Alligator mississippiensis: one gene and its partner. The protein of the gene in region 1 purifies or fractionates together with the protein of each later gene. This does not show direct contact. Links are inferred from orthologs where the notes say so. Each region holds a gene or a part of one and is shown in the gene's direction. Other genes may lie near its edges.

What was found.
Region 2: the proteins of NPM3 (region 1) and NEPRO purify together in Homo sapiens (affinity purification with mass spectrometry; 4 studies listed by BioGRID and IntAct, with this or other methods). This does not show direct contact. The link is inferred for Alligator mississippiensis from reciprocal best matches to the Homo sapiens genes NPM3 and RMP64.

What each region holds. Positions count from the first base shown.
Region 1 is NC_081829.1:100,261,703-100,276,193, reverse strand, and holds NPM3 (nucleoplasmin-3), read left to right. Parts: upstream 1-7,117; 5' UTR 7,118-7,164; coding exon 7,165-7,240; intron 7,241-7,381; coding exon 7,382-7,470; intron 7,471-7,785; coding exon 7,786-7,905; intron 7,906-8,010; coding exon 8,011-8,104; intron 8,105-8,225; coding exon 8,226-8,320; 3' UTR 8,321-8,322; intron 8,323-8,405; 3' UTR 8,406-8,724; downstream 8,725-14,491. UniProt on the Homo sapiens protein: Plays a role in the regulation of diverse cellular processes such as ribosome biogenesis, chromatin remodeling or protein chaperoning. Modulates the histone chaperone function and the RNA-binding activity of nucleolar phosphoprotein B23/NPM.
Region 2 is NC_081824.1:247,523,161-247,538,910, reverse strand, and holds the start of NEPRO (nucleolus and neural progenitor protein), read left to right. Parts: upstream 1-8,281; 5' UTR 8,282-8,300; coding exon 8,301-8,400; intron 8,401-9,522; coding exon 9,523-9,677; intron 9,678-10,893; coding exon 10,894-10,970; intron 10,971-11,059; coding exon 11,060-11,191; intron 11,192-11,548; coding exon 11,549-11,626; intron 11,627-13,165; coding exon 13,166-13,524; intron 13,525-14,330; coding exon 14,331-14,392; intron 14,393-15,233; coding exon 15,234-15,490; intron 15,491-15,750. Other genes in the region: protein spire homolog 1, read right to left, coding at 1,867-2,031, 2,667-2,698, 6,231-6,471. UniProt on the Homo sapiens protein: May play a role in cortex development as part of the Notch signaling pathway. Downstream of Notch may repress the expression of proneural genes and inhibit neuronal differentiation thereby maintaining neural progenitors.

The sequences.
Region 1 (14,491 bases):
TCGTCCTTTTTTAAAAAACTTTCCTCTCATTTTGGTCGTGAAATAAAGGAATTCAGGTCCTTATTTATGCTCCCAGCTAGGCTTTGAAGGGGTTTTACAAGCTCTGATGAATGGCATTAGACTCCAGGAAGGAGCAGCTACTGTTTGGCCTTCCAGTGCAGTCACGCACAGGCTCATTTGCAAACAGTGAACAATTTTTTTTTTCTTCAATTATTATTTTTTAACGTGATAGCGAAGTATTTCAGTTGAAACAAGCTCATTTCATTTCTTTAGAGAGGGAAGTACCAGGGGTATTGGGTCTCGGGGCAGTCAGAGCTGAAGGTCCCTCGTTTCGTACAGCTTTGAGTGTGTGTAGAGTAGCCGATGCCTTGGTTCGTCAGGTGGAGCCATTCTTTTTTTTTTAATGGGTCTGCCAGAGTCAGTTTAGTACTCGATCTGGATTCATAGCATTACAGCATAGGATGCTTGTGGCCTTGTATCTTGGCTTTTAAAGAAGTTGCCACAATCTCTCTTCCTATGAATATAATGTTATAGAAGTTAGTTGTATAAACCTACGGGACGTCCGGCCAATACCATCACCCTAGGATTGTAAGGTGATACGTTGACATATCTTTCATGGTTAAGAATTTTCATTGAGGTTGGAATGCCACTTTCATTAATCTGTTTTTAGATGACCAGTATCTGTAGCAGAGAAAATGACCTGTAAAACTGTATTTGAAGACCACGCGAGAAATAGAATAAAAATTCCGAAGTGAATGTAAATGCACGGTGTGTTCGGTGTGTGGCGCTGCTCACGGGCGTGTGCGGGCACGGTCCTCTCCATCATGCGGCGGCCCTGGCCCTCCGTACGTCTGCTTTTTTCCGGTGGGGGGCGCTCCTGGCTTTCAAAGGGCACTGAAATGGTGGTCTGCCCTGTGTGAGGATGAACATGTAGGCCCACATTGCCAGCCGTGCTCAGCCCCTCACCTGCACGGATCTTCACGCAGTACTTCACTTTGAAGCCTAGACGGCTCTCACGGATAAAGTGGGCAGCCTGCCCACTTGTGGGTATAACAGCTGGCGAAAACCATGCGTTATATGATCAGCAGCACCTTCTCCCTAGCCCAGCGCAGAGACGCGCTTGGATGCTTGTTCACGCGCGGTGGAAGTGGAGGATGGAAAGCAGGCTCGCCAAGCAGTGCTCTGCGTGAACAAGTAGCCCAGCTCCTTGGGCCCTGCTGGCTGTCTCGCCCAGTGCTGCCTTTCACAGTGGCAGAGAACAGATGCGAAGAGAAAGTATCTTCAGGGCCGGTCTAGACTCCTCTTTCTGCTGCCCCTTGTCCCTTCCAGCGCTGAGGCCTGGGAAGGCTTAATTCAGAGGTCGCAGCCCTTCCATTGTGTTAATACACGTTGGACATGCCCTGCACGACGGTCTCATCCTCTTCTGACCCCGGTTGCACTGCCAGTCCCTGCAGCGTCTTGTGGCAGAGACTCCGCAAGCTGATGTGGAAACTGAAAAAACCTCCTTTGCGTTACTCAGCCTGCTCCCCAATACATTCATCAAATGCCCCTTAGGATCTGGTAGATTAAAACCCAGTCGCTTCTAATCACTGAGCCTAAAGGGTTCAAAGTACCTTGGTATCAGTTGCTTTTCCAGCACCAGGACAGGCAAGTCGGGTAAAACCTGGGGTGGGAGGGGTGACTTCTCAGCGAGGAAATAATGGAGCTTACAACATGACTCGCCCAAAGTCAAGCCGAAAATCATCGGCACCAGCTGGAGGCTCTGTGACCGGGCTGCACTGTCCCACCCAATGGGATTGTGGACACGTTCCCAAAATCATCCCAGGCACTGAGCTAGGTCTGCTCCAGGCGGGAGCCTTCTGAGCACGTAGACTCGCACCTGTCTCTCCCGCGTAGTTCTGTGGTTCCAGGAAGAGTGACGGCAGGATCCGTGCAGGAGGAAGCAGGTCTGTTATTGAGCTGATCTCGTTCGCAGTGGCCGGGGTCAGGAACTCCTCCAGTGGCTTGGAAGGCTTCGTCTGGACTCAGACCACAGCACACATCACAGCTAGGTTTTCCCCACCACCTGCTCATTTAATTTATCCAAGCAGCACTGGCCCTGAGCTTCATCTGGCGTGCAGAAAGGACCCTTTCCTGTACCGACTTGCCTGGCTTAGCTCAGCCTACCGTATTTCCTTGCAGACAGCATGCCCTGAAATAAGATGCACAACTTGTTTTGGGTCTTTCCTGAGTAGCTGCAGAGAGGGAGCTGAGCCTGCTCCTTGTTGGGCTCTCCTGCAGGCCTTGCCTCTCCTTCCCTTACTGTATTTCTTCACGTGTGAAGGGCGTTCTAGTTGCAGCAGTTTTTGAGGGGAAGGTGTTGTATGCAAGGCAATGCAGGCAATAGCAGCGCAGTCCTTGCCCTCCAAGATGCTAGCGATGGTCATCAATGAGGCTGACTTCCTTACACTGTGCCCTTCCATTGGCAGTGGTGCCAGGCAGCGCAGACGGGCTCGAGAGCCCTGTCAGAATTGCCAGCATTGAGGCATGGCCCCATTTCTCTCCAGTCGTGGTTGCCCCCGGCCTCTTTGTAAGGCCACAAGCCCCAGTGACCCGTTGGAAGGGGGAAGTGCTTGAGCCCCGTAGAGCAGCCCCGGTGACCCTCCCCAAGGCCCCACACCGAGCTGACTGGGAAGCAGCGGATCCTGTTTTGAAGCGTGGCTGCTGCTTTGGAGGAAGATGACTGAGAGGCTGAGGGACCTGGGCTGCTTTAGTCTGCAGAAGAGAAGACGGAGGGGGATTGAATAGCAGCCTTCACCTCCCTGCAGGGCGGCTGCGAAGAGGATGGAGCTGGGCTGGTCTCAGTGGGGGCAGATACAAGACAAGGAGCAATGGGCTCCAGCTGCAGCAAGGGAAGTTGAGGTTGGATACTAGGAAAAACTTTCTCACTAGGAGGCCAGTAAAGACTGGAACAGGCTCCCCAGAGAGGTGGGGGAACCTGCATCCTTGGAGATTTTGAAGCCTGTGGCTGGATGATGCAGGTGGAGCTGGTCCTGCTTGGAGCAGGGGTTGGATAGATGACTCCTGAGGTCCCTTCACCCTCGTTGCCCTTGATCCTAGGATGGACAAGGTCTTTCTGAGGGCAATTCAAGCACAAATCCCTCCTGAGCCCTGTTTAGCGTTGGTCAGCCTGCACCTTGGCCCTGTCCGGTCCCCCCCAGGGCCTGTCTTACCAGGGAGACAGTGCAGTTCAGGCTGGTTTTAACAGAGCTGAACCAGTGCAAAGGACTAAGCGTGCATCATGGCTGCAGTGGCTTAAACTGGGCCTTTCACTGTCAGGAAGAAGCCACTTGAGGCCTCGTGCATCGATTTATCCGGTCAGCTTTGTCCCCTCAGTTAAACCTGGGGTGCCTTTCTCATGAGAGCCACCCCATACGGTCCCCTGCTCAAACTCCAGGCGGCTCCTGGGAACCGCAGGCAGCACTGGCAGTGAGGACCCTGTTTATCCTGCGTTTGGTCCCAAAGATTTGTGCCCCTATTAGCTCCTTGGAGCAGGTTGTTCCCTCGAGCACCTGCCTCATCAACCCTCCAAATCACTCGTGAAGTCCTTGAATTCATCCAGCGCAGGGTGGCAAAGGCCGGCAGCAAGGCAGCAGCCCTGGACTTCAGGAGGGCGGATTTCATTCAGCTAAAGAGGCTAGTCGGGGAGGCACTGAGGTCCTGGAGGGGAGGGAAGTCTGACACGAGTGATCGTTCCTGAAGGAGACGATCCTCCAAGCCCAAAGGAAGGTAATCCCAACACAGATCAAAGCGGGCAAGAGTGCTCAAAAGCCCCCATGGCTCACCAAAAGCATCCGGGAACATCTCAAAGCTAAGAAGGAGGCGTACACCCGATGGAAGAGAGGGGCCATTGCCAGGGAGGACTACATCTCGGGGGCTCGGGGCTCGGGGCGGTCAGGAAGGCCAAGGCAGAGATGGGACTGGGACTAGCAACACGGATCAAGGACAACAAGAACTCCTTTTTTAAATATATAGAGGGTAAAAAGAAGGTACTGGGTAATGTGGGGCCTCTGCAGGGCATGCTAGGAAATCTGGTGGTCTCACCAGACAGCAAAGCTAACCTATTTAACAATTTCTTTGGCTCCATTTTTCTGAGCAGGGGCAGGGACATCCCCCACACTGGGACCCCTGATGGACCCAGGGGAGGCACAGCCAGGCCCAGGGTCAGTGAGGACCTAGTCGGGGAACTCCTGGAGGGGCTGGACGTGTTCAAATCAGCAGGTCCTGCCGATCTCCACCCCAGGGTGCCGAGGGAATTGCAGAGGTCACTGTGGGACCCCAGCACGGCTCTACGAACACTGGTGGTGCTCTGGTGAGGTGCCGGAGGACTGGAAAAGGGCCAGTGTGGTCCCCATTTTCAAAAAAGGGAGGAAGGAGGACCCAGGAAACTACAGGCCTGTTAGTCTTACCTTGGTCCTGGGGAAGCTCTTTGAGAAAATTATTTGGGAGCACATCTGTGAGGGACCAGCAGGGAGATCATGCTCAGGGGCAACGAACACGGTTCATTCAAGGCAGGTCCTGTCAGACCAACCCGGTGGCCTTCTATGACCAGGTCACACAATCCCTGGATGCAGGTGTTGCGGTGGACATAGTCTTTCTGGACTTCAGGAAGGCCTTCGACACGGTCTCTCACCCCATTCTCATTAAAAAACACTCGGGGACTGTGGCGTCGACACCTACGCAGTCAGATGGGTCACTAACTGGCTGGAGGGCCGCACCCAGAGGGTGGTGGTGGACGGGTCTTATTTGACCTGAAAGGCTGTGGGCAGCGGGGTCCCCCAGGGCTCGGTCCTCGGGCCTGCACTGTTCAACATCTCCATCAGCGACTTGGACGAGGGGGTGAAAAGCACCTTGTTCAAATTCGCAGACGACACTAAGATGTGGGGGGAGGTGGGCACGCTAGAAGGGAGGGACAGGCTGCAATCGGACCTGGACAGGTTACAGGGGTGGGCGGATGAGAACAGGATGGGTTCAACACTGACCAGTGCAAAGTGCTGCACCTGGGGAGGAAGAGCCAGCAGCAGACCTACAGGCTGGGGAACTCCCTTCTCGTCAGTGCAGAGGCAGAAAAGGATCTTGGGGTCATCATTGATGCCAGAATGAACACGGGCCGACAGTGTGGGGACGTGGTCAGGAAGGCCAACCGCACCTTGTCGTGCATCCACAGATGCATCTCGAGCAGGTCCAAGGAGGTAATCCTCCCCCTCTAAGCGGCACTGGTCAGGCCCCAGCTGGAGTACTGCATCCAGCTCTGGGTGTCGCACTTCAGGAGGGATGTGGACAGCATGGAGAGGGTCCAGAGGAGGCCACCCGCATGGTCAGGGGCAGCAGGGCAGGCCCTACAGGGAGAGGCAACGGGACCTGAACCTGTTCAGCCTCCCCCAGAGAAGGCTGAGGGGATCTGGTGGCCTGTTACAAACCAGTCAGGGGGACCAGCAGGCACTGGGGGAGTCCCCGTTCCCCCAAGCACTCCCAGGAGTGACTAGAAATACTGGTCACAAGCTGGCAGAGGGTAGATTCAGACTAGACATCAGGAGGCGCGACTTCACTGTCAGGGCGGCTAGGAACTGGAACCAACTTCCAAGAGAAGTGGTGCCGGCTCCAACCCTGGGGGGCTTTAAGAGGAGACTAGATAGACACCTAGCCGGGGTCGTTTGACCCCAGCACTCTTTCCTGCCATGGCAGGGGGTCGGACTGGATGATCTGCTCAGGTCTCTTCCGACCCGACCAACTATGAAACTGTGAATTCGGGGGTGCCACAGTAAATACCTCCCAGGCACCTGGACTCACTGGGGGCAGCTAGGACTAGTTCCCTTCCTGGGGAAGACCCCCTCATGCTCCAGGTGTCCGAGTGGCGCTGGGTCGTTGTTCATGGCGGTAGCTGATTGCAAGCCAAGAGACAAAGAATTTGGGGCCTTGGTCAAAGCCTGGTGCCGCTCGTGGTGGGAGGGACGTGCGGTGGAGGCGGAGGGCGAGAGGGTGCTCACAGAGCCCGCTGTGAGGTTTTACCAGCCCCCGGCTGCTTCTGGGGCAACGTGTGCGCCCCGGCCTGGTTCGTGAGGGGGTTGAACCCTGGCTGCGGGGCTTAGGCCATGTGGGATGAGATCCCCTGTGCCTGCCCCATCTGATCCTGGCTGCTGTCAGACGGGGCTGGACTAATCGCTCCTGCCGGCCTGGTTGGATTTCACGTGGATCGAAGCGTCTCCTGTGCCCACAGGTCTGGCCGCAGTAATCAGCTGCCGCAGCCTCCCCAGACATGGCTGCATTTCGGTGAAGGGTGATCAGTTCCTAATGGTGGTCTCGATCGAGTCTGGGGCTACATGAATGCTGCTTGGTGGCAGGTTTTCCTTGAGCGGAGCGTCGCATTCTTGTCCGCTCTCCTGATCATCCCGAAGGCCGGCAGCACCCGGCACTGCCGCGACACAACCAGGCACTCCTCTTGCAAGCGTGAGTAGCTCCTTGCTCTCTCCCTCCGTGCTGAGTTACCCGGATCTCTGCTCCATGCCGGGAAGGGGACTGGGGCGTACAGAGGGGACCCCACCATCCCATCTGAACCGGAGTGCGCGGAGGTCCAGTCGGTGGGAGCGTGTCCCTTTGCGGGGTCTCGGAGCAGACCCCGGCACGTTCGTCTCCCCCACGCCGGTGGGGCATCCCCCCGGTTTGGTCTCATCCTGTGTAGAAACGCGTCCTGCTGGACAGGTGAGCGAGGCGGCCGAGCCCGGACCCCCAGACCCTGCCTTGCCCCGCTGCAGGCGCCGGGGCGGTTTGAAGGGAGACAGGAGCCAGATGCACCCCGTCCCTCCCTCCCTCTCCCCGGCTCGTCCTGCCCCTGCCCTCCACCCACCCCCCTGCTGCCTGCGCTGCCGCCCTGGCCCGAGGTGGGAAGGAGAGCCTGGTCTCGGGGATCCGGCGGGAAGCTCCTGGGATCCTCCCCGCCCGGGCGGGCGGGCCGGGCTTCGCACGCACCGGGGTCCCGCGGGGGACGGCCCGCTCCGCGCTCCCGGCACGGCCGCTGCGGGCGGGGAGGAGCCGGAGCCGGAGCCGGGCCGGCCAGGCGGAGCTTCAGCCCCTTCCTTCCTTCCTTCCTGCCTCCCTCCGTCCCTCCCACGGTGCTCGGCGCTGCACATGGCCGCCTTCCTGGAGCGGCAGAGCCGCGAGTGGCGCCCGCCCGGCCCGCCCGACCCCGAGGGCGGCCTCTTCGGTGCGTGGGGAGGGGTCCCGGGGATCCCGCGGGGGGCCCAGCAGCGCCCGTGCAAGGGGGGGTCTCTGGGTCTGCCTCCCTCCCCCCCCCCCCCCGGGCCCGGGGTCTGTGGCTTTGCTCGCTGACCCCCGTGCTCCCCAGGCTGCGCCCTGACCGGCAGCGCCCGGTCCTTCACCTTCGTGGCGGACGAGGAGGACGAGGACTGCGAGCATCTCCTGACCCTGTCCACGGTAAGAGGGCCGGGGTTGTGGCAGCCCGCAGCCCCTCCTCCCACCCAGCCCGTGCCCCCTCGCCGGGCGGCAACACGCGATCGCACACGCGGGTGCCCGTATGCGGATGTCACACACGTGTGCGTGTGTGCTGATCCCACACGCGGCAGCATCCGTCGGGGCAGCGGAGACAAACCTCCGCCCGCAGCTCCCCTGCTCGGAGCCGCCCCGGGGGTCCCGGCGGTGCCCGCGGGTTGCGGTCGCCCAGGCGGTGTCTCCAGCCGTGTCCTGCCCCGTGGCAGCTGCCCCCAATGCTGCCCCTCTGCTCCCTCCCAGGTCTCCCTGGGGGCCGGAGCCGTGGACGAGTGCAACGTGGTGGAAGTGGTCGGACGCGACTGCGACGACCGGGAGATCGCCGTGCCCGTGGCCAACCTGAAGCTGTCGTGCCAGCCCTCGGTAAGGCGCCCGGGCGGGCGGGGGGACAGCGTGCAAGCGCCGTGGCGCGGCCGAGCCAGACCCCAGCCCTGCTCTGACTCCCCTCCTCCCACGGCCTCTTTGCAGCTGAGTTTGGACGGCTTCACGCTGCACCCTCCCGTCACCTTCCGCCTGGCCGCCGGCTCCGGCCCCGTGCACCTGGCCGGGCAGCACCGTGTCGGTAAGGGGGGGGCGGGTGCCCCTGAGCGGGGGCTGCCGGCTGCAGGGGGGTGGGGGCAGCTTGTCTGGCTATCCCTCCCAGCACCGGCTGCTGGTGCTGACGGCCCGTCCGTGCACCCCAGTGCCCAGCACCAGTCTGTCCGATGAGGACGAGTCCAGCGAGGAGGAGGAGATCGCGCCCATCATGCCAGCGAAGAAACAGTGCCGGAGGCTGTAGAGGTGAGGGCTGCTTTGGAGATCGGCGGGGGGCTGCGCTGCGGGGACTCCCACCCCAGTCTCACCTCTGCCTCTCTCTCCCCCAGGTGCTGCTCCGGTTCCGGTTCCGGCTTCGGCTTCCCCACCCCGGGGCTGGGGCCTGGCTGCAGGGAAGAGCCCCCGGGGATGGGCCGAGATCCCTGCCCTGGCACAGGCCAGGGGGGCTGCGCTCCCGGGACCAACGCCGGGACCCTGGTGCCTGACGCCAGGGGTGGGTGTGGGAGCGTCCCCCTCCTCCGGGCTCCCTGCAGTCCTGCCTGGGGCCAGGCTCTGTGCTCAGTGCGGCCTTGCCCCCCCCGGCCCGTGGGGAAGCTCTGGGGGGCTCTTGGGGTGTATCCAGGTAAAGAGTCATCACTGCCTTCCCAAGCTCCTGGCTGTGTCTTGTCTGCGCCCGCTCCTCCCTGCCCCGGGGCCGTCCATGGGGGCTTTTGGGGGACTGGGAAATCTCAAGCTCCGCACTGGAGCTGGGCCCTGAGAGGTAGAGGTGTTGCGGGGGCTTGACCTCTGACCCCTGGGTCTCCCCCAGCCCAGCCAAGGCTCTGGGGCAGGCCCCAGCCCAGAGTCCAGGGCAGTGGGGACCAGCGGGGTTGGCTGCTGAGCATTCGCCCCCCGCGGGGTTCCCTGCTGGGGCCTGGAGATGACCAAGAGCCAGGGGCCAGTGTGGCACCATTGCATCCAGCCCAGGGGGCTGCTGTTCCCCTTGCACGTGCAGGGAAACTGAGGCACAGGGCAGGAGCCAAGCAGGCCCAGGCCTGGTGTGGGGCTGGCCTGGGGGAATCTGTCCCTCCAGGGCCACGGCTGCCTGGCCTGGCTCCAGTGCTGCAGTTCCCCCGTGGGCCGCCAGGTGGCAGCCCGGCCACGCCGTGCCCGGGGATGCTCCGCGTGGTACCTGCCCCGTGGCTCCGGCATCCCGCGTCCCCTCCGCCCCGGGGTCAAGCTGCAGCAGCGAGCGCAGGCCTGGATGCCAGAGCCAGCTGCCAGGGCAGAGCTGTGTCTCCCTGCCAGGTGTGGAGCAAGAGCTGGGCCAGCTCCGGGACGCGCAGCCCTCTGCCCCCGTCACCTGGGGGGGGGCACTGGGGATGGGCGGCATCAGGAAGGGGAGACCCGGCATGCAGCACTCGTGGCTTGGACCTGCTGTGGCCCTGCTGCAGGGGGGCACACGGGTGCAGGGGTGGTGTGTGAGGTGCATGCATATATTGCATGTGGGTGCAGGGTGTGTGTGTGTGTGTGCACATGTGAACATGGTTGTGGGGGGAGGCAGAGTTCACAGATGCAAGGGTGTGCAAGGTGGGGGGGCAGGGGTGTATGTGCCTGTGCACAGGTGCACATATGCCCAGGGGTGTGTGCGAGTGCAGGGTCATGTGTGCACACAGGGCTGCGTGGATGTGTTGGGGTGTGCATGTGTCCTTGTCCCCCTCCCTGTGCAGCCACGAGGCAGGCTCTGTGGGGCACCTGACCTTGGCCCCTTGTCCCCCCTGGGGGTTGAACCCTTTGGGGGGCATGAAGCGCAGGTCCCAGCCTGTTGTGGGGGCTGCAGTGCCCGACCCAGCTTTTATCCAGCTGCCACAGCTGTGGGGAAGGGGCGGAGGGGAGTGGGTGCTGCCAGGGCTCTCCTCTCAGGCCCACCTGTCTCCAGTGCCCTCCTGGCAAGGGACCCCCTCGTGGCTCCATCACTCATGCCCCTGGGCGTCTCACAGGCACGGCCACCCCAGCAGGGCGTACACAGGCTGCGCGTGCATGCATTCACAGCAGGATTTGGTGGCACACAGGTGCATACATGCCCTGTCCTTGTGTGCGTAGGTGCTAGTATAACCACTCGTGGCGGGGATGTGCCTGGGCCGTGCTGGCGGGGGCTTGGCTGCAGGGTCAGGGCCGAGCCCTGGAGGCTCACGGTGAAGCCCAGGCTGCAAGGGCGATGCAGAGGTGCTCCGGCAAGAGGTGTGACACGCTGGGGGGGGGATGCTGCACGCCTGTGCTGTGCTGTGGGGTGTCCCAGGTCCCTGGGCTGTGCTAGTTGTGCCCCCCCTTTCTGCTCCATGAGTCATTGTGGGGGGCAGGGGGCGATGCCTGGGGCTGTCGGGGCAACTGCGTCGTGTGCCTCCGAGGTCGGACACGGGGTTCGTCTGGGCTGGTTTGGACGGGGCTGATCCTGCCTCAGGCCGAGCTGGGCTGGATGTGACCCCGCGGCTCCCTGCCCCCCCCGCGGCGCTGGGACTCGGTGATTCCTTCCAAGCCGGCTGCTAGAAACTGCCTCCTGCTCCTCTGCCCCGTGGTGGCGAGCAGCTGGGTGGTGGTCCCAGCTAGGTGATCTGTCACGGATGAGCGGCCTGGGTGCTGCTGAGCCTGGGCCCCTCGCCTTGGCCCCGGGTGGATCCTGTTTGTCCCTGCATACGACTCGCCCCTTGGTCGTGGCAGGAGGACCGGAGGGAGCAAAGCTCGGCCCTCGCAGTAAGTCGCGGGGCTGGGGCTGCTCCAGGTTTGCCCCTTGTGTCTGGCTGCAGATCGGAGCCTGGCACCTGGGCAGGGGCAGAATCTGCTCTTACCGTATTTTCTCATTTATAACGTGCACTCGTCTCCGGCATGTTTTGCAGGGTGCTGTATGCGAGGTGGGGGGTTGTGGGTGGATGATGCTGGGATGGCACGTGGAGGGGCAGATGGGGGTGGGGGTGTGCAAAGGGGAGGGTTGTGGGAGGCTGCCAGGTGCAGCTGTGCTGCGCGTGTCAGAGGACGTGCTTATGGCAGCAAGCCGGCGTGGGTCTAGTGTGTGCGTGTGCCTCTGGCCTGGCTGCAGGAGCTGGGTGCGGATTGCAGGAGAGGAGCGAGGGTGGGGAGGATGGACTTGGGTAAGATAAAGGGTCGGGGCTGGGGGCTGCTGCCCAGCCAGGGTCCCCCATCCCCAGAGTAGCTACAGGTGTGAGCAGCTCAGCGATGGAGATGCAGGGGCAAAAGGGCGCACACACATGCACACGCATGCACGCACGAGACAAGCAGCGGGGGGTGAGGGGGAGGTCCTTCCTCTGCAGCGGGGGCATGGCCTGGGCCTGGGCTCTCTGCACGTCCAGGACCCCCCGGCAGCAGCCGGCCATTGCTGTCCACGGCCCCCTGTATCCCGGGGGCAGGGGCGGGAGCTGTTTTGGGGTGACTGTCGTGGGGCTCCAAGGTCGGATGTGGGGTTTGTCAGGGGGAGTTTGGATGGGGTTGATCCTGCCGCCGCAGGTCCCTTCCAGCTCCACTTGGCTAGGATTTCCGTGACTGCTGCCAGCCAGGCCAGAGAACCGGGGACATGGGACCAGGGCAGTTTCTTCTGCTCCCACCCTGGGGAGGAATCGCACCTGCCCCGGTGGTGGCAGAGAACAAGGAGCAATGGGCTCAGGCTGCAGCAAGAGAAGTTGAGGTTGGGTATTAGGAAGGACTCTTTCCCTAGGAGGAAGGTGAAGCACTGGAGCAGGCTCCCCAGAGCGGTGGTGGCATCTCCATCCTTGGAGGTGTCGAAGACCCAGGTAGACAGAGCCATGGCTGGGATGATGTAGCTGGGGCTGGTCCTGCTTGGAGCAGGGGGTTGGACCCGACGTGACCTGAGCTCCCTGCCACCCTTGCAGGGCTCAGGCCCACCTGTGCCGCTCCTGCGGCCATCTCCGCATTGGAGACCCCTGGCCCACAACAGGGTTTTGCCCACCTCCGATGGCAGCAGACAGGTGGGGGGCTTGGGGCCTCCCCTCCGTGGCCTGGGGGGCTCCAGCTCCCCCTCCCCGCACCCTCCTGCACTTGGGTCTTCTCCGCGGTAGAGCCAAGTCCCGCAGCCCCCGGCTTCCTCCAGCCCCCCACCGCGCACAGGGCTTGGGGAGGGCTGGGGGGGGGTTGGTCCTGGCTTGATTTGCCGTCCGGGGCTGTTTGCAGCGGGGTGGGCGCGTGGGGGCAGCGGGTGTGGATTAGCGTGTGCTGGGGGGAGGGCCGGGCCCCGCGGTGTTTGCACTGGTGTCTACCCCTGAAACTCTCCTTAATCCTCTTAATGTCTCGCACTGGCAGGGCCCACCTCGCACCTTCCACCCCAATCCACATGAGCCCAGCGCCGCCCGCTCGCTCCCTCCTCCCAGCTCCGACCTGCAGCTCTTTTTGCCTCCGAGCCCCTTTTGGGGGGTGATGTGTTGCGGGTGGGGAAACTGAGGCACGGGGTGGCGAGGTGACCAGACCAAGGCCACCTGGCAGGTCAGTGGCAGAGCTAGGAGTGTCCTCCAGGGGCTGGTGTCTCAGCTGGTGCAGCCGCCTGCCCCTGGCTCCAGGCTGGCTCGGGCTTTGCTGGTCCAGGGGCCTGGCCTCTAGCCCCGGCAGTGACCTCTGGCCTGGGGGAAGATCTGGGGGGACATGTTGTTCCCTCAACCCCCCCCAAGCCCAGGCCCCCGTGTCAGGACTTTCCCTTTGCCCCCTGATACCCCCTTGGTCCTGCCCAGGGGGTCACGGGGGCACCTGTATGCCGTGGCCAGCGGCTTGGGGTGTTTGTGGCAACGCCCGGGATTTCTTCCTTGTACCCCCCCTGCGCCCGTCTGCTGCGGCCCCTGCGCCGGGACTGTCTGTGCCCCCCAGGGCCGGGGCCGGGGCCGAGCCGGCTGCGCGCAGGAGCCCCGGGGCTGGGAGTCACTGGGGGCGTGCGCGGCGTGCTACATGCACACGCAAGGGCAGCCCTCGCTCGCCCGCGCTCCAGGCCATCGCTGCACACTGGAGAGGGGCTGAGTTCAGACGCTGCCAGAGTGTGTGGACACACACACACACACACACACACACACACATGCCTCCTGTGCGTGCATGCGCAGGTGCCCATGTACACCCCCCTCCGTGCACATACATCCCCATACTCCCCCCCTTGCCCATGTATGCACACATGGGCACACACACACACCCTACACATGTACACATGCATGCACACGCGCCCGCACCCCCTGCACCCCCCCACGACACCCCCCCCATGCAGATACAGACACATCCACATCCGCGCATCCCCTGTCACACGTGCGCACACGTGTGTACAAACGCGCGCACATCCCGCACACAGCCCCCGTGCCCATGCATGCGGACACACGCGCACACACCTCTCCCTTGCATACACACACACACACACACACGCACGTGCGCGCAGCTACGCGGTACACGCACGCACACCCAGACACACTCGTGTGCACGCCCCCCCGCCCCCCCGCCACTGCCCCCGGGCCGGGCCGGGCCGGGCCGGGCCGGGCCGGTCCCGCCGCCCCTCCCTCCTCCTCCTCCGCCCTCGCTCCGGCCGTCCCTCCCCGCCCAGGTGCGGTGTGGGCCCCGCAGTGCCGGCCCCGGCCCCGGCCCCGCGCCCCGAGCTCCGCGCTGACAGCGCCCGCGCCGCGCCCGCCCGCCCGCCCGCTCGCCCGGCTCCCGCAGCCCGGGGCTGCCCCGCCGCGGAGCGCGCCGCCCGCCCGCCCGCCCCCGCGCGGGGCCGGGGCCGGGGCCGGGGCCGGGGCCGGGGCAGCAGCGCCCGCAGCCGCCAACGCCGCACCATGCCGCCGCCCGCCCCGCTGCTCCGCTCGCTGTAAGCCGCCGCCGGGTCGGGTCCGGGTCCGGGTCGGGTCGGGTCGGGGCTCGGCTCGGCTCGGCTCCGCGCTCACCCCGCCTCCTCTCTGCTTTCTCCCGCCAGGTTCCTGCACCTGTTCGTCCTCTGCCTCCAGGCTCAGGTGAGCGCCGGCCCGGCCGGGTGCCCCGGGAGGGGCGGGAGGAACGAGACTGGAAGTCCCGGGGCAGGAAGGGACGCGCGGGGCAATCTCGGAGGGCGCAGCCCCCAAAACAAAGGGAGGAATCGGGGCAGGCGGGGCTGGCACCGAACCCGCCTGGCTGTGGGGCCAGGAGCCGGGCTTTGCAAGGGGGTGCGAGAGATTACAGGTGCCGGGGCGGTGGGAGAGAGCGAGGGGAAGGGAGCCAGGAGGGGCCAAGCCCTCCTCGGATGCCCCCAAACCCCCTCGACGAAGCGGGCGCATCCAGACAGAGAGACCCAGCTGCCGGGGGCAGAGCGCTGGCGGCCTCCGCTTCGGGCAGCGATTGCTTTTAAATCGTTCCCCTTTTATTTTTCCGTGCGGGAGGCGGCGAGGCAGCCTTCGCGTCTCGCACGGGGAGG
Region 2 (15,750 bases), on another chromosome or scaffold:
AGACCCTTTACTTCTGCTGAGAGTGAAGGAAAACACAACCACCAAACCACAGTTCCAATTTTGAACAATTTATAAGACAGGTGCTATACGCATTTTATTATCTTGTTTTCCATATGTTGGACCTTTAGCTAACTGCCTGCAGCAGGGGCTTTCAACCTTTTTAAATAAGTGCACCCCAGTGGCTGGACGCAGAGCAGAGGGGGAGGTGGCACGCAGCCAAATGTGGAGTGGTGGTGTGGAGTGGTAGCGACTGCCACCGCGTGCAAGCTTTCCTCCCCACCTCATGTCCGGCTGGCCAAGTAGCACCTGTGCGGCCCACAGAGGGGCACCACTGCCTTTGCCCTGCCCTGGCCCTGCTCCTGGGAAGTGCTGTGGGATGGTGGGTGGCAGCGCTCCATCCCCACCTGCCCACATGTACCCCCTAGGGCCTTCCCAAGTACCCCTGGGAGTATGCACACCCCCAAGTTGACAACCCCTGGTCTGCAGGAAGAGCAGCTCTTTCAAGAAGTCACAACTGAAGCTTTTTACAGAGAAAGATGTCATGCTCTCTCAGGTATTTATTTCATTTTCTTTGGTCTCAAAAGAATCCCCCCCCCGTAAGATTACAGCTATCCAATGCCTGGAACACACCAGCCAGCTGGAGAGAGACTGACTGGAGAGAGTGAACTTTCTTGAGACAGTCTAAGCTGACAAAGTGGGAGTTGCTCTCATCCAGTTCTTCAAACAACTTGAATATGCCTTGGATGAGTCACACCTTAGGTTTTCCCCTTTTGTAAACCTTGGAAGTGGGGTTGAATACTTAGAAAAAGTCTAGCATGAGAGCAATTTGGACAGTGCTTTAACTTCAAAACCCATTTCAGGCACGTTGGCTTTAGTAATACTTCTCACAGTGCCGACATGCTAAGTTCTGCTGATAGCAGTTTCCCTCATGGAGATAGGCATTTTTGTATTCAAATGCCCAGAAACAAGTTTGCAATGCTACTTTACGATTGCCTGCTCTCTAGAGGCCAGAAGCCTGGAGAAAGGATTGACATGACTAAGGTTAGCTAAAGCAAGAGTTAGTTCATGTGTTAATCTAAAGTCAGTAAAAACGCTTCCTTTGGCCTGAATGCTGCTTTGGACTCAAGGAATCCTTAATCCTTTAGGATATAGGCAGCATTGCTTAGGAGTGCCCATGTTCTGGCAAACTGTTCTTTGCAGAGCTCTCTGTGTGGCTGCACTTCTATCCACCTATCAAGCAGTAATAGTTTTAGGTAGACAAGATCTGGCATGTTGCTAGGGTCATCTCATCTACAGTGATCTTGAGGTAGGACATTTATGCTTCTTTACACCAACATACCCTGGGGGAAAAAACGTGGTGCATATGGACACCTCAAGTGGGCTGACCCCCAGGAAGTAGGAGGGTGGAGAGCATGAACCAAAAAAAAAAAAAGCAAGTTAGCAAGCCCCAGCTTCACTCCAGATATTAACAGTGTCAGCAACTAGTTGTGACTGAATTAGCAGGGTGGTTCCCCCATTGCAATTGGGAACTGAACCAGCTAATTGTGTGTGGCACTTGCAAGGGGGAAAAGGCTGGTTTTCCTGCAAGCAATAGGAAACATTTTGGGCCATACACACTGAACCCCGTAACCACAGTTGTGTCAAAGTGCAACCACTTTTCTTTCCTCCCCATCCCTGTACAATAAGATCTTCTGGAGTGCACCATTCTCACCTATTGTTATAAGGAGAGTACTAGGTGCCTATCCTCCAAGGCACTACCCAAATTTTCATAGAATGCTCTCCAACAGCTGTGAATGCCAGTACATTAGCATTTTCAACAACTGGACTATTAAAAAACAAACAAACAAATAAACAAACCCAAAAAACCTTAATGACATCCTGAAGACCGATTGCTGGTGTTGTTGCTTCAACATCTAGTTTCAGCATGAGGGAAATCAGGTTTTCCAGGGGTTTGCTCAGCTCTCGCTCCATATGGCTGTCAATGCCCCAGTCCAGGGCATTATAGATCACCATTCCCAGACACTCCAGCAGCTATGAACAGAAGCCAAGGAAGCAAGCGACCTTTCAGATCAATGTAGTAGTAGTTCAGTATTGTAAAGACAGTTCCCAGATGATACCTTCAGATTTCTAACCCAAATAACAACTCTACCCACTTTGGAGGTCATGTGTCTTCTTCACAGAAGGATAAGGTGGTCACAAGGTAATCCTGTCATTGTTGCTCAAGCTGGGTGACAAGGTATAAGAGACTAGACCAGAATCACTTATGATTACAGCGTGCTGAAGTTGTGGAAGTGTGCTGTGGCAGCAGAAATGCACCCACTTTATAAACCCTATAGGTGGCAGTATTGCCAGCTGCACCTCACCCTTTTCCCTTGCAGCATGTACATCAGGACCACTCAAGTAGTTTCATTTCTGAACTTGGCCTTGGGCCTTTCCCTGGTCAAAGAATGGAGACGAAAGTCATCTTCCTTCAGGCCCCTGGCACTCTTCAAGCACCAAGAATATTAAATGACAATTGAATCTTTTGAACATGACCCATTGTTGTAGGACAAGGCAGCTTAGATTTTTGTACCTAGAACATCTACTCAGAAAGGATTATGACTGTGCCATTCCTAGGTTGAAGTCATAGGTCCTTGACACCATCTTGACTCCAAAGAGAGACTTACCTTGTCCTCTGATTGTTGTGTCTTTTGAACATCTGAAAGGGAAACAAGTGAAAGAACATAAGTCTGTAGGGATTGTGAACGGCTTGCTCTTTTTTGTTATAAGATAAAGCCTTCACTAACCCTACTTGGTGGAGTGGCAGAACCATTAACATGTCTTGCTATAGTGCTGGAGGTGAAAGTTCAAGCCCTGCTCTGGTCTTCTGCCACAGACTGCCCCAGTTGATTCAGCTGTAAATGGGCACCTGGTCATTCAGGCTGAGAAGCCAGAAGTGGCCAGATATCATGCTGGCCATTTCATGCCCTTATATGACACTGACTACAGTAACTGGTGTGCCTTAACCACAGCAGCCCAGTGGACTGTTAGGCTTGCATGGGCCCTTGACACTGACCCAAATTTCCCTTTCCAGTATATCATGCAAGTTTGGTTTCTTGCCATTGGGAGAAGTCCTCAGACAGTTTTAACCTCCATTTTCTTGGGGGGGGGGGGGGGGGGGGAAGGGCAGGGAAGGGAATTGGATGAGAATCCAGGATCATTAGAAAACAGTGCAAGGTATGGTTTCCCTTTGATGTTCTCTGCCTCTGGATGCTTCTCAAGTAGAAATAAGAGAAAGGAGCTTCCTTTCTTTCTCTCTCAACACCCACTGCTCCCATGCAGACTACAGATACAACAGGCCTAAGTATAGTTCAGTCAGACTATATCAATGTCACAACCCAAAGCTGTGATTTGTTGTTTGTGTGCGCTTCGGCAACGCTAAATTACATTCCCGCTAAAATTGCAGCTTCTTTGCGCGCTGGAGTTTTCTGCTGCAGAGGAGAACCCTGCCATTCGTATTATACTTTGAGCCCCATTATTGGCTAGTTCTAAATTATGTACACGTGGCAGCAAGTGATTGGCTTGCTAGCCATATAAAAAGCTTCAATGGTTTCCGCCCAAGTTGGAGGACTCTACGAACATCAGGAGGAGGAGACTTCACCCTGTGTGAAGATCTCTAAGCGCTGCGGATCCTTACGGACCCAATGCATTTCTTAAGAAGGCAACAGAGGTCTGATCAGCCTCTAGCCTCTCCCTGTCGCCGATAGATTCCTAGACGTATCCCTTCCTATATACCCAATTTTCGAACCCACTCTTAACAGCTCTGGGGGACCTGGGAACCGAACCGAACCCACGGAGCTTCAGCAACTTCGTGAGGAAAGAACTGCCGAACCCACGGAGCCTAAACCACTCCGGGGCCAAAGAACCGAGTTCGTCAGAGTCCTCCAACGAGGACTCAAGCGGAGCTGCACCTGGAAAGCTGTCCAGCCTACACTGCGACCATCTTGGGTGTAAGTAAATAATCTTTTAAATCAACCACTATGCGTTCGTGACTAATTCTAGCTCGCCACCGGTTTTCTCCGACCCCGCGTGCCCGGGCTGCTGGCCACAGCCCGCGTGCGCAAAGACGGGCCATGGATCGCCCCCCCCAACTCGCACTTGGCGGCGGGATCGGGGCCCGGCCCGCACAATCAAGACTTGCTCTTTGGAAAATGGACACTTGTCTTTTGGCCACCTTTCATCCTAGCGTGGGGGAGCCACAACCCATATAGAGATTTCACAGAAAAGGCATGAGGAAAATCAACTTGCTCCAAACATTGCAGAATAAACACATGCAGAAAGTGACTAGTTATTTTTGTCAAGCATTAGTCCCTTTCCCTTCAGTGGCAATGGCATCATCCATGCATCAGTGTGCACAGGAGGCTGGACTAAGTGACTTAAAAGACCCATTCTAATCCTATGCATATATTATTACTTCTGAAGTCTAGCATTAGAAAGTAAAGAGACTGCAAAACGCAGAACAATTATGCCATCCATGGTGTCCCCTCATCCCCCTGCATAGCTTCAGATTAGGACTCACAAGTGACAGAGTGGGAGGACAAGGAGGAAGGGAATGTTCATCTGAGGATGAAGTGAGACATTCTTCATAAACCCCTTATACAAGCCATTTGTTTAGGTAACACCCCTCTAACAAAGTGATTCAATGTGTTACTATTAGAAAAGTTGATTTCTTCTATGGTAGGGCCTGGTTTAAGTTGTGGGCCCAGCTCGCTAATATCATGGCCCAATCGTGACAGGGGCCACCATACTCATGCTCAGATTGAGCCACTTCTCCCCCACACCATGCCTCTTGATTGGCAGAGGGGGCAGGTTTAATTGCAGCAGGAGATGCCTAGTTCCAAAATCCTCTGATCACTGCTGAAAAGCCCACGCCCCTCTTCCCTCCTCCCCACCCCAACTTCCCTGGAAGAGGCAGTAATTAAGACAGCCCTGGCACCAGGTAAGGGAGTCTGTTTGTTCCTCCGGGCAGGAAAACTGGGGTGCAAGGGGTTGGGGGTGCCAAAGGGCTGCCTTAGTATATGGCCCTGGCACGGGACAAAAAAAAAAAAAAGCCACCTGGAAGAGCAAATGCCATCCCCAAGTTCTCTCCTTCCTGTCCCTTTTAGAGACAGAAGTTACACATAAACCAGCTTAAGCAACCAGAAACTGGTTTAAACCTGTAACAGTTGCCCTGCTGCTAAACTTACTAAAACCTACTGCTGGCTGTGACTGTGGACTACAAGTCCCAAAGGCACCTAGAAGCAAGAAGAAAAAGTAACAAGCAACCATGCAGAGTCCTGTTGCTGTGATTCTGGACTGCAAATCCCAGAGACCTCAAGAGCAGCAGGAAGAGGAAGCGAACACCCATCCCATGCTGGCTATGTGCCAGAGAGGCGTGCTCCAGTGTACTTAACCTGTTTTGTGACACCTTCCCTCCTCCCCTAGGCTGCTAAGCTTTTGCTGCTGGCTGGGGAATTCTTGCCATCATTGCAACAAAATGCCATAATATAGCTGCTTGTTGGGGAACTCCCCAGCAAACAGGCATATTGTGGCATTTTTATTGCAAGTCACATTTTTTCGTGAAAAAAAGAAATCACTTAATTTTGTGATTTTCACAAAAAAGTGTGAAATCACAATTTGAACTAGGCCCTATCCCACAGTATTTTTTTATCCAAAGACTTCAGAAATACTTTGCAGAGAGCAATAATATTATTATAATTCACCACCACACTAAAAAAAAAAAAATTCTCATTATTACAGACAAGGGAAAAACAGCAGATGCAGCAAAAGAACTGAGAAACTGACTCCAAAGCCAACGCTCTAACCTTTGAGAAACACTGCTGCCAAGATTCCCCCCAATTAATACCCCTTCTTTCCCATTTCCCTATGGGCACCCTAGTGGGTAGGGAAAATAGAGCCCTTCACATTAGTTGCAGATTCACTGGGTTTGGAGACAACCCAAGAAATTCCAAGAGTCAGCCTGCTATTTGCAGAGAAAAATCAAGGGTTTTACTATGGAAAACAGTTCAAAGACAAAACAAACAAACAAAAAAACCCCCAACCTCCCCCACCCCCCAAAAAACCCCAAACAAAAACCAAAACCAAGCAGCAACATATTTTTGGTTATGATGGATAAAATGTTACTAGCTGATTATTTTTTTTAAGTGCAGAATAGAAACAAGAGCCCCATCAATTATCATCCTTGCCCTTACCAGATTTAGAGCACAGCAAGAAGGAAACATTGCCATTGGAATGGATGAGGATGCTTCCAGGGCCTTTTATAACTACAGTAGGAGACCATGGATGAAGCCCTTGAGCCAACTGCTTCATTTTACAGCAGCACTGAAAGCAAATGGCCCAAGCTTGCTCCTCACTTATAGGCTGTTTATAACATCTCAGGAGCTCTTCCAGAGAGACCTTAGTAACACTCCAATCACATCTCCTGTCCTCCATTTCACATGTATCACTTATTTTCTATGCACTTGCTTGTTTGTTTACCACTTGAGATGTTTTTCACCAACTCTACAGGAAGCAGCATCTTCTCCCAACAACCTTTTATGCAGTCTCCCTTTTCTTTCCTTCAGCTGTGACCATTCAGGGCAAATACCTCCTTAAAGGGACACCCTCAATTTCACCATCTGATCTGTACTTATGAATAAAGGCAGAGGGGTGGGAAAAGGGTTCTAGGAAGATTAGAAGCCCAAGTTAAAACTCATGCCTGATATTAACATCACTGACTTCATCAAGTTTATACACAGAATGTGAGTCAGATTAAACTGGGAGCATACAAGCTACTACCAAAGTAGAAGAGGCAATGTAGGATATAATTCAATTTCTGATACAGGTACCCAGTGGGAGGAAGATACCAGGAAAAATGTTGCTGAAAGACTCTGAAAAGTGAGTGGAGTGCAAGTGTGATGTGCTTACAGCAGCCTGTGCTGCGAAGCAGACCTGTAGTGCTGTTGTAGGGTCCAGGGAACATAGAAGAAGCAAGATGTGTTTGGTAGTGCTCTTGTAGTGGACCAATTCTATAGCTGGGAGAAATCCTAGACAAGTTTTTGGGCACACAAGACCCCTCTTCAGGTGTGAGAAAAACATCTTGGGAGCAGATGCCTTCTGTACAATCGTTGGGGAGTTCTGAATACTCCTCACCACTTTTTGCTGTGTTGGGTCAGCCACTACCTGCCTCCTCACAGATACTCTGATCCCAGAAGCAGTTCAGTCTAAATCTGCAATGATATGCATGAGAGAAGCGGATTGTGAGGGACAGCTTCAAGGGGACTGAGGTGCACAGGCCAGTGATCACACCCAATGCTAATAAAGTGACCCTTGGAAAGAACAATGGTCACCAGTCATGGCTCAGTTTCCTTGCCGCCTACTCAACTGGCCAAGAGATTGATTTCTCAGAGACATGGGCACGAAAACAGAAATCCAAACCTAAACTGTATAAAACTCGTCCACACGCACAGGCACAGGGCTGGGAGTCAGTAAGTTGCATCAAGCGGATTGAGGGGCCTGTGTCCTCGCCATGCAGCAGTGAGTCGGCCTGCGTATTCTCTGCTGCACACGGCTGCTTTGGAAACGTTGCCTGATTGCTAATCACCTCAGAAACGGGGGTACCGTTCAGAGGAACTCGCTTTGGCTTTTCTTGTGTTTCTCCAGATGAAATAAAAGCCCCCAGTCACCCTGGCTGCAACATGAGCTGCCACCTCTTGGCCCCATCTACCTCCAGGTACAAAGAACTGTCAGGCCTCCCACTAGAGGTGGCCAGTACCTGCCCTGCTTTGGTGGCCAGGAGGGAGCCTGGTTCATTTGATGCCACCTGCAAGGCTGAGGCGGGTTCCCTGGCTGGCGGGGTGCGTGCTTGGGGCAGGGGGCACCCTGAACAGCAGAGCTCCTGGCGGCTGCCTTACAGCGAAGGCTGCAGGGCAGGTCAGCACAGCCTGGCGGACCTCATGCAATGCCACAGGATGTAGCAGCTGATCTACCCCAGGCTAGGGCTGCCTTGAAGTAGCTGCTCATGTGTCTGGGGCCCCTGCACCCTTCCTTGGTGGGGCCCAGGCCGAGGGGCAACCGCAGACCCTGCCCTTGCCCACACTGGGCTCGCGGGGGCTTCGCACCTCCCACTGCCCGGCTATAGCAAGCCCTGCACACGCACCCCGTTCCCGAGATTCTTGGTACAGCCCGCAGGGTTCCTCCCCCGCCCCCCCAGCTCTGTTTTGGTTCCGCCCACTCATGCTTCTGGCCTCGTCGCCCCGCCCCTTTCCCCGCCCTTAGCAAATATGGCGGGGCCGGAGCTGGGGGAGGCAGTGTGGAATCGGGTAAATGTGCCGTGGCCTGCCACTAGCGCTACGGTGGCTCTGCCGGAACAGCACCCCTCAGGTAGCGAAGGGGGCTGTGTGGGGTAGGCGCGGGCGAGAGGCGGGCGCTCGGGGCACGCGGTTTCAGCTGGCTTAGCCACCGGACTCGTGACGTCACAGGCGCGCCTCTGCGTCCTGGGGTCGTGACGTCGCGCGCGCCTCTGCGTCCTGGGACTGGAAAAGCGTGTGCTGGGGCTGTGGTGTCGCGTGTGTGCGTGCATGGTAGTCAGTAGGGGGTGTTGTAGGGTACACATAGGGTGGCTAACCGTCCAGGGGTGCCCCGGAGTCCAGGAATTCAATCTAAATCTGGAGGGGACTGCTTGGAGTCACCAGGGAGATAAAATATATCGCCTTCATCAAAATAAATATGAAACATTGAATCCAATTTAGACAGTAGGCCACTGGTTCCTATAATGTAGCAGTAATGTGCATTTGCCTTCCTAACATAAAGTCTGCACACCGTCAAATGTACCAGATACGTGAGCACGTGGGCACGTTCGTGCCGTGTGGCACGGGCATGTTGGCGGTCTGGAAACCTCCCAGGATAAATTGTTCGAACGTTGGTAACCCTACAGGCACATTAGGATGTGTATGATGTACATCTTTAATGTTTATTTCCTGCTAGTGGGGTGGGAGGAGTAAGTATGTAGATTTTCCCCCTCCCCCCCCCCAAAAAAAGACTGCAAATTTTTATTGAAAAGCCATAAGCGGTTGCCCCCTCTTTCCCCAAACCCACCCACCCCTTTGTGGTTATTGTTGTATTGCTGCTCCTTTGGAGCATCCAGAGCCCAGACCCGCTGCCCTTCCTCTCTTACTTCCTTGCTCTGTCCCGCTGCATCACGCTGGTTCCCGTCTCCCAGCTAAGGGGTGTGTAGGCAGCAAAAGGCAGGAAGCGGAAAATGGCTTTTAAAAATTCCTTCTGGATTTTAAGCTGTTTCATGTGAGGGGAGATGGCAGATTGGGGTTGCAGGCTTTACTTTAGGGGATGCGTTTCTTTGGTCATTTGATTTTGGGGTGTGGACTGTTACATGATTGTGCTGTCTTAAACCATTTATTTCATGTGGAACTGCAAAACAGTAATGTGTCTCCTCCCCCCCACTCCTCTTTTCTCTCCCTCTCACCCTTACTCCCTCCACCCCTGCAGTGAGATGCCTTCCAGCAGTTAGTAAAGAGTGCTCTGCCACTCTCACATGGCTGAACAACAAAGCTGTGGATGCTGAAGGAAGAGTCCTGCATGCGATCCTTTATGTCTGCCACAGCAAAATGTCTCACCATAAAACCTACCTGGCTCTGAAACAGGTCAGCAGGGAAAATCATACCGATTCATATTATTTTGCAGTAATAGTTGATGGAATGAGCTTTCTAATAATTTTTTCTTACAACCATGTTCTGAAGAAAAAAATTGAGATCTGGGTTTTGGTAAAGTTTCATAACATTGTTCACATCCATTTTATTCTAAATGAATCTCATTCAATTAGGTTTTATTGATCCTAGATAGAGAATTTGGCTGCTGGTGAGAGATTTTACCACTCCATTTCAATGGGAACAATACAAGACACTTTCTGCTTAAGTTAAAAACCTAAATAAATACAGTAAAAGTTCTGTTATCCAGCATCCCTTGGGAACGGAGGATGCTGGATAACAAAATATGCCGGTTAATTGAGCAGCCCCGGCCACCGCTTCTCGCGCCGTGTCTGGGGTGTCCCCTCCGCCCCTCCCATGGCGGGCCCCGCGGGACAGGGTGGCGAGTCCTGCACAGCCTGTTATGCCCACGGGCTGTGGGGGCTTGGCAGCACAGGCTGCTTTGCCCTGAGCAATGGGGGCTCAGAGAAACCAGAAGTGCCACGGTGAGCACTTCTGGTTTCACTTTATCTTACAAGCCGACATACCAGTTAGTGGAGCATGCCAGCTTGTAAGATGTCAGATAACATAACTTTTACTGTAGTTCATTTTATTCGCAACTTTCAAGAAGTTCAATATAAAACATTAGATAGGACAGAACTTGTATTTCTGTTGAGAGAAGGGGGAATAATTCAAAGGTTGCCTTAAACACTGTTTCTACTAACTTGAATGTTTTTCAAAGGTGGTCTCAAAGCAACTTTCAAATGTAACAGAACATGGAATGTTTAATAACATTTTGTGGTATGGGTATGAAATACGCTGCCTGTTGCACTAACAAAACAGAGGTTGGAATCTAGATTTTCTGTTCTGATTCTTATGATTGGTTTCTCCTGAAGCTTGTTTTGCAAACTTAATTTAAGTAGCCACAATTGCAAGATGCTGCCTGGAATGTGTAGGATCAGTTGATAGTCTTTGCCTGAGTCCTATAAAGTCCACGTTCACAATAATGTCATCTAGAGATCCTCCTTGCCCTTGTGTAGATATTTGTGTGCGCCAATGGGTTTGGCACCAGGTGTGGCAGGCCTACACATCAACAATGGACAATACTGACTAATAAAGACCTATTGATTGAGAAACAAAAAAGTATTGACCAAAAGACTTGTTGGTTTTTTAGGTAGAACAAAGCTTGAAGCGTTTGAATAGGATGAACTTAGTGGGATACGTTCAAGACCTGGCAGAACTGTGTTCCAAGTAAGTGTCATTACCTCCTGTTAGACTGAATGCTACTTTTAGCCATGAAGAACTTCATGCTAAGTGTAACCACCACCCCCTCACTACAGGAAAAATAAATCTGAAAATCCTGGAGAGCATCTAGTTCCCAGCCAGCCTGTGATGGAAGTAGTAGCAGTGAAGGTCTTGGGAGGCTGTAAGTTGTTGCTGCGTCTACTGGACTGTTGTTGCAAAGCATTCCTGTATCCTTCTTAACAAACCTGGGAGCCTGGAAGTGAAAATTCTTACCAGAAAGCCAAATATGATCTGCTGCAGGCTTCTCATTGCTGATAGCATTTGATAAACGGACAAATGTTGTTTAGTTAAAAAGCCTTTGGTTACAGGCAATTGTTTTCAGATCAGCAGGTACGGACTTTGGGCTGCTGGCGAACTGCTGTTATAGCTCTAAGTAACCCCGAGTTTGAACAGTCCTTTCCTGAGTAATTGCCAGGCATAGATGGGTTTCTGAACTGCCTTGTAGGAAAGTCTCTGCTCAGTGAATTACACTGCACACTGTTTTTATTGGTTTTTTTTCTCACCTTAACAAGCTTTATTTTCAGCTTGACCATTAAACACCTATGTTTGGAAGAATTCATACTCTTGAATACTGTGGTCTCAGGATTGTTGAGCAGATTATGGTTTGTATACATTTGAAAAGATATATATTTTTACTTTTTTTAATTTTTTTTTTTTTTGTTCATCATCTGCCTGCTTTGCCCTAGTTACTTTAATCAGTACATAGTATGACACAGGCCTCGGTGCCTGTTGTCACCAAGAAATGGCAGGTGTTGAGCTAATGAATCAAGGCTTCTTCCCTCCCCTGACTTGAATGGCTCACCCTACCTGAAATCGGACAGGCTTTTACGGGATTCTCAGGAATAGGTGCTAGTGTAGATGGGGGAAGGGTTCATACTTGATGATGAAAAGATTTCTATGGCACTTATAATACCACCATGATGTTCAACTGCTGGGTTTTTCCAGTAAGTGATTTTTAACTGTCTTGTGTGGAGAATATAGTTGGTAGAATGGAGCTGTTCCTTACTAGCCCTGATTCTTCCAGTGAATCATTTTACGAAGAAATGACAAAAAGATTCAAACATAGGCTGAAAATGCTAGCATTGTTAATTAAAATATAGAGTTACTCGTGTGATATGGCATCAATGTGTATGCTAACCACTCTGTTCAGAACAGGATAGCTTTTCTTCAGGTGGCATTGAACAGAAAAGTGTATATAATGTTAAAAAGGCAGATGAACAGGCCCACTTGTACTGAATTGGAGGAGAAATGGTTTGTGGGGAAGAATTTTAATTAAAGAGCCTTGGCTTGATGTCACCTGGGAGTTTGCTCATTCCTAAAGCTTGTGAAGATCCATGAGGTGCATTATATGGGGGAAGAAGTCTCTGTAATGCAGGCTGTGGATGGTGTGTTCACAGGGTTGAATCAGTCCCAGTCTATATCCTGCATCTTCTGAAGCTCTCAGACACCTCCATCAAGTGAAGAACTAGCATTGAAAAGGGAGGTCAGGCTACTAGTCAGGAAGTACAAATGTGGGGTGCAGCAAAGGACAGGTGGCCTGAGAGCATAAAACCAGAGCCCAGAAATGCATGTGTGTTGGGGGGAAAAACATGGGAGGGGAAACCTTTGAGAACAAGGAGCAGGTACCAAATGTGAGAGTGCTTGTTTAGTGAATACTGTGGACTCCACTTATGCCTCCTAGGTAAGTGCATTATTTGTTTAGCTGCATAATGCTTCAGACCCAACTTGTTGCCTGTTGTTTATATTTGCGTAAATCACTTATGAGCATAGTACCTTTAGCCCTCCTGTCTACTTAATTGAATTCGTATTAGGTGCATAGTAATGCATGTCTGCTAGCTAACTGCTCTCCATTTAAGGGTGCCAGAAATAGTGTTAAGAGGAAGTGGGTGTCAAAAAGGCTATTAGCTTTGAAAATGAGAGTTAGCTGGTGTTGGGGTTACCGATGCCAAGGCACTGACAGTACCGGGCACATAATAAGCACTGATTGTTTACTTTCAGCCTGGATATGTTCATGTGCTGGGGTAGTACACAGCCTCTTTTGCTCCCTCAGCTTTGCATTTAATGGGGCATTTTTATATGGGCTAGACCAGCTAGTGTCTGTAGGCAGTTCATGCCCCTGTGTTTTCTGTCTGTCTCCTCAGGATTCTTTATAGATGCGTGTTACAGAGGCTTACGTCTTTATATGGGGCGTTGTCTGGGTTGCTGCAGAAGGTGTCCGAGACCCAACAGATGCCCTATGTTAAAGGGTTTACCTTCCCCTCTGAGATTGCTGAGTTTTTGGGAGTTAATCTTTCTGTAGAGATCAAGAAAAGGAAGTCTCAAATACTTACAACAAAAAAAGCAAGCAGATGGCTGAACAAAGTGTTCTCTGCAGAACCTGAGACAGCAGCCAGGCCCCGTGTAAAAGAAGCCTTGGCCATTCCAAGGGTTAAAGTGAAAATGGGTGCCCAGCGCCCCATTGACATTGGGAAGCCTGTTCTGGTGAAGAAAACCAACCAAGGTAGAGTTTTGGTATTTTGCAGGGGAAGGGGGAAAGAGGGCTCATGTTAGAAATTTGGTACTGGCTCTTTGGCCCTCCTTAACTTGCATCCTGTGGAACGCAGCAGTCACTTGTAAGGCCTAGTCCAAGGATATTTGTGTGTGATCTTGAGGTTGTCTGGTCCAAATGCATGCTAGGACCTGGGATAGCTTTGCTATTATGTAAAGCATTAACTTGTGCAGCTATGTTCCTGCTTTCTGGTGGTCTGTATTAGCTTTGAGGGGATGTGAGTAATTTGTACTTCAGAAGTACAAATGAAGGAAGCTTCCCATGGCCCTATATAATTGTTCTTTCTCATTAAATCCTCTCTATTTTAGAGAGAGGGAAAGTGAAGTGAAATGGAGCGTGTACTAGCCAAGAGCTGAGCACCAGAACCCAGTTTCTGACTCCTAGTTCTGTCCTGTAACCACAAGACACTCCTTCATCCTTGCAGTGGGTCCCAAGCATCAAAGCATTTTATGGGGTTTTTACCCATCTAGTTTTTGGGGTTTTTTTTCAATTTTGTCCTGTGCATCTACCTGGCAGATGTGTATAAGTCTTTCTCACCTGCCTTTCTGCTTTTTGGATTGATTGCCTGCTGGCAATTGCTGAGCATGGATGCAAACCAGGGTCTGTTAGCTTGTGACCCAGTGGTCCTGCATGGCAGCGCAGCACACTGAACACCCCAGCTGGGGTGAAGTTCTGCAGTGCAGTTCTGGAAAGAACTTGCCCAAATATTTTTTTTTCCCATTTTAAGTGATGGTTTTTCTTTTCTCTCCCCAATTCAGGGAAACAGCTGGGATTTGATGTCAAGACCTTCTGCAGACAACTGAAAGCCCAAGTCCCAGAGGTCTGTATGGCATAATTTAAAATAAACTTTTACCTTTTGGAGAAGGCTTCCAGCCCAAAATACTTTTCATGCATTTTAGACCAGGGTGCCATAAGTGGCACAAGTAGCCTCTATGTATAGTACATAGCAGATTGGGGAGGGGACAGGCAGCACAGTAGTAAACAGGGTAAAAAGCAGAAAGCAAAGCGGTGAATAGAACAGCAGGCAGAAGGGGATAGGAGTGACATTCGGGAGAGGATAGAGGGCTAATTTGTGACACATCTACCAAAAATGTAGGCCCCTACTCCTTTAGACATTATCCCTCCCCATGTTCTTTTGCCATGAAAACCATCAGCTTGGCTTTAATTAATTGGCCAGGTGCTTTGCAGGTAGGAACAGAGCACTGTTCTATGCCTCTGTCTTTGATCCAGTCCCCTGCATTTACAATGATGATTTATCTAATGACTCCTCCAAACCTCCACTTCAAACCCTTGCATGTAATTACAAGATGCAACACACTTGAAACATTGCATAAGTAAAAGCAGAGAGAAGGCACTCTCGGTGCCCAGCCTTAGAGGCATTGTGTAGAGCTTGTGCTGGGGAGTCTCTGTTTTAAAGCTGGAGAAAGCAAATGCAAGGAAGTGGAAGAACTTCCCTGAATCACAAAGCAAGTTAGGTAGAGCTGGAAATAGAGCCTTAATCTCAAGTTTTGTAGTGCTGTACTCTTCCTGGCTAGACCACTGCTTCTCCACGCAGTAAAAGGGTTTTCTCTAACACTAAGCATCTCTGCTTCCCTCCTGTGGGAAGCTCAACATTTTGATGTTTTTTAGGGACTGACTTCTTCCCCTTTTATTTCTTTCAGGATAGAAGTTTCATGCTAACAGTTCCTGAAGCCAAAGTGAGGCCAGCTCCACTTTCCTCTTGTGCAACAAGGTCTCAGCGTGCCAGATCTCTGGTGCTGACCCTTCGGGAAGCCCACTCTTTCAGGGAACTCACAGAAGCACTCAGAACAGCCATTCTTTGGTTTAGAAGCAAGAAGCTCAGGGCAGAAACCTGCTTTCTAAAAAACAAACTATTGAAAAGCAACCGGCTACAGCATGTGGAGGCCCAGGGATGCAGGTATGTTTCCTTGAACATGGATATAAGGTTTCTAGGGACAGTACTTCACCGTAAATTACTCTTTAGGCCTTGGCTGTGTGGGAAGAGTGCATTGGTATAACTTTAAAGATTGAAATCAAATTCTGATAACTACATGAGTAAATGTCCTTCTTGTACCCTTCTGGCACAACCACAAAAGTGTGTGTGTTTGGTTTTTTTTGTTCCTAAGTAACTGAAGGTAAACATGGTTTGAGCTCAGTTGAAACAAGCTACTCTTAAAC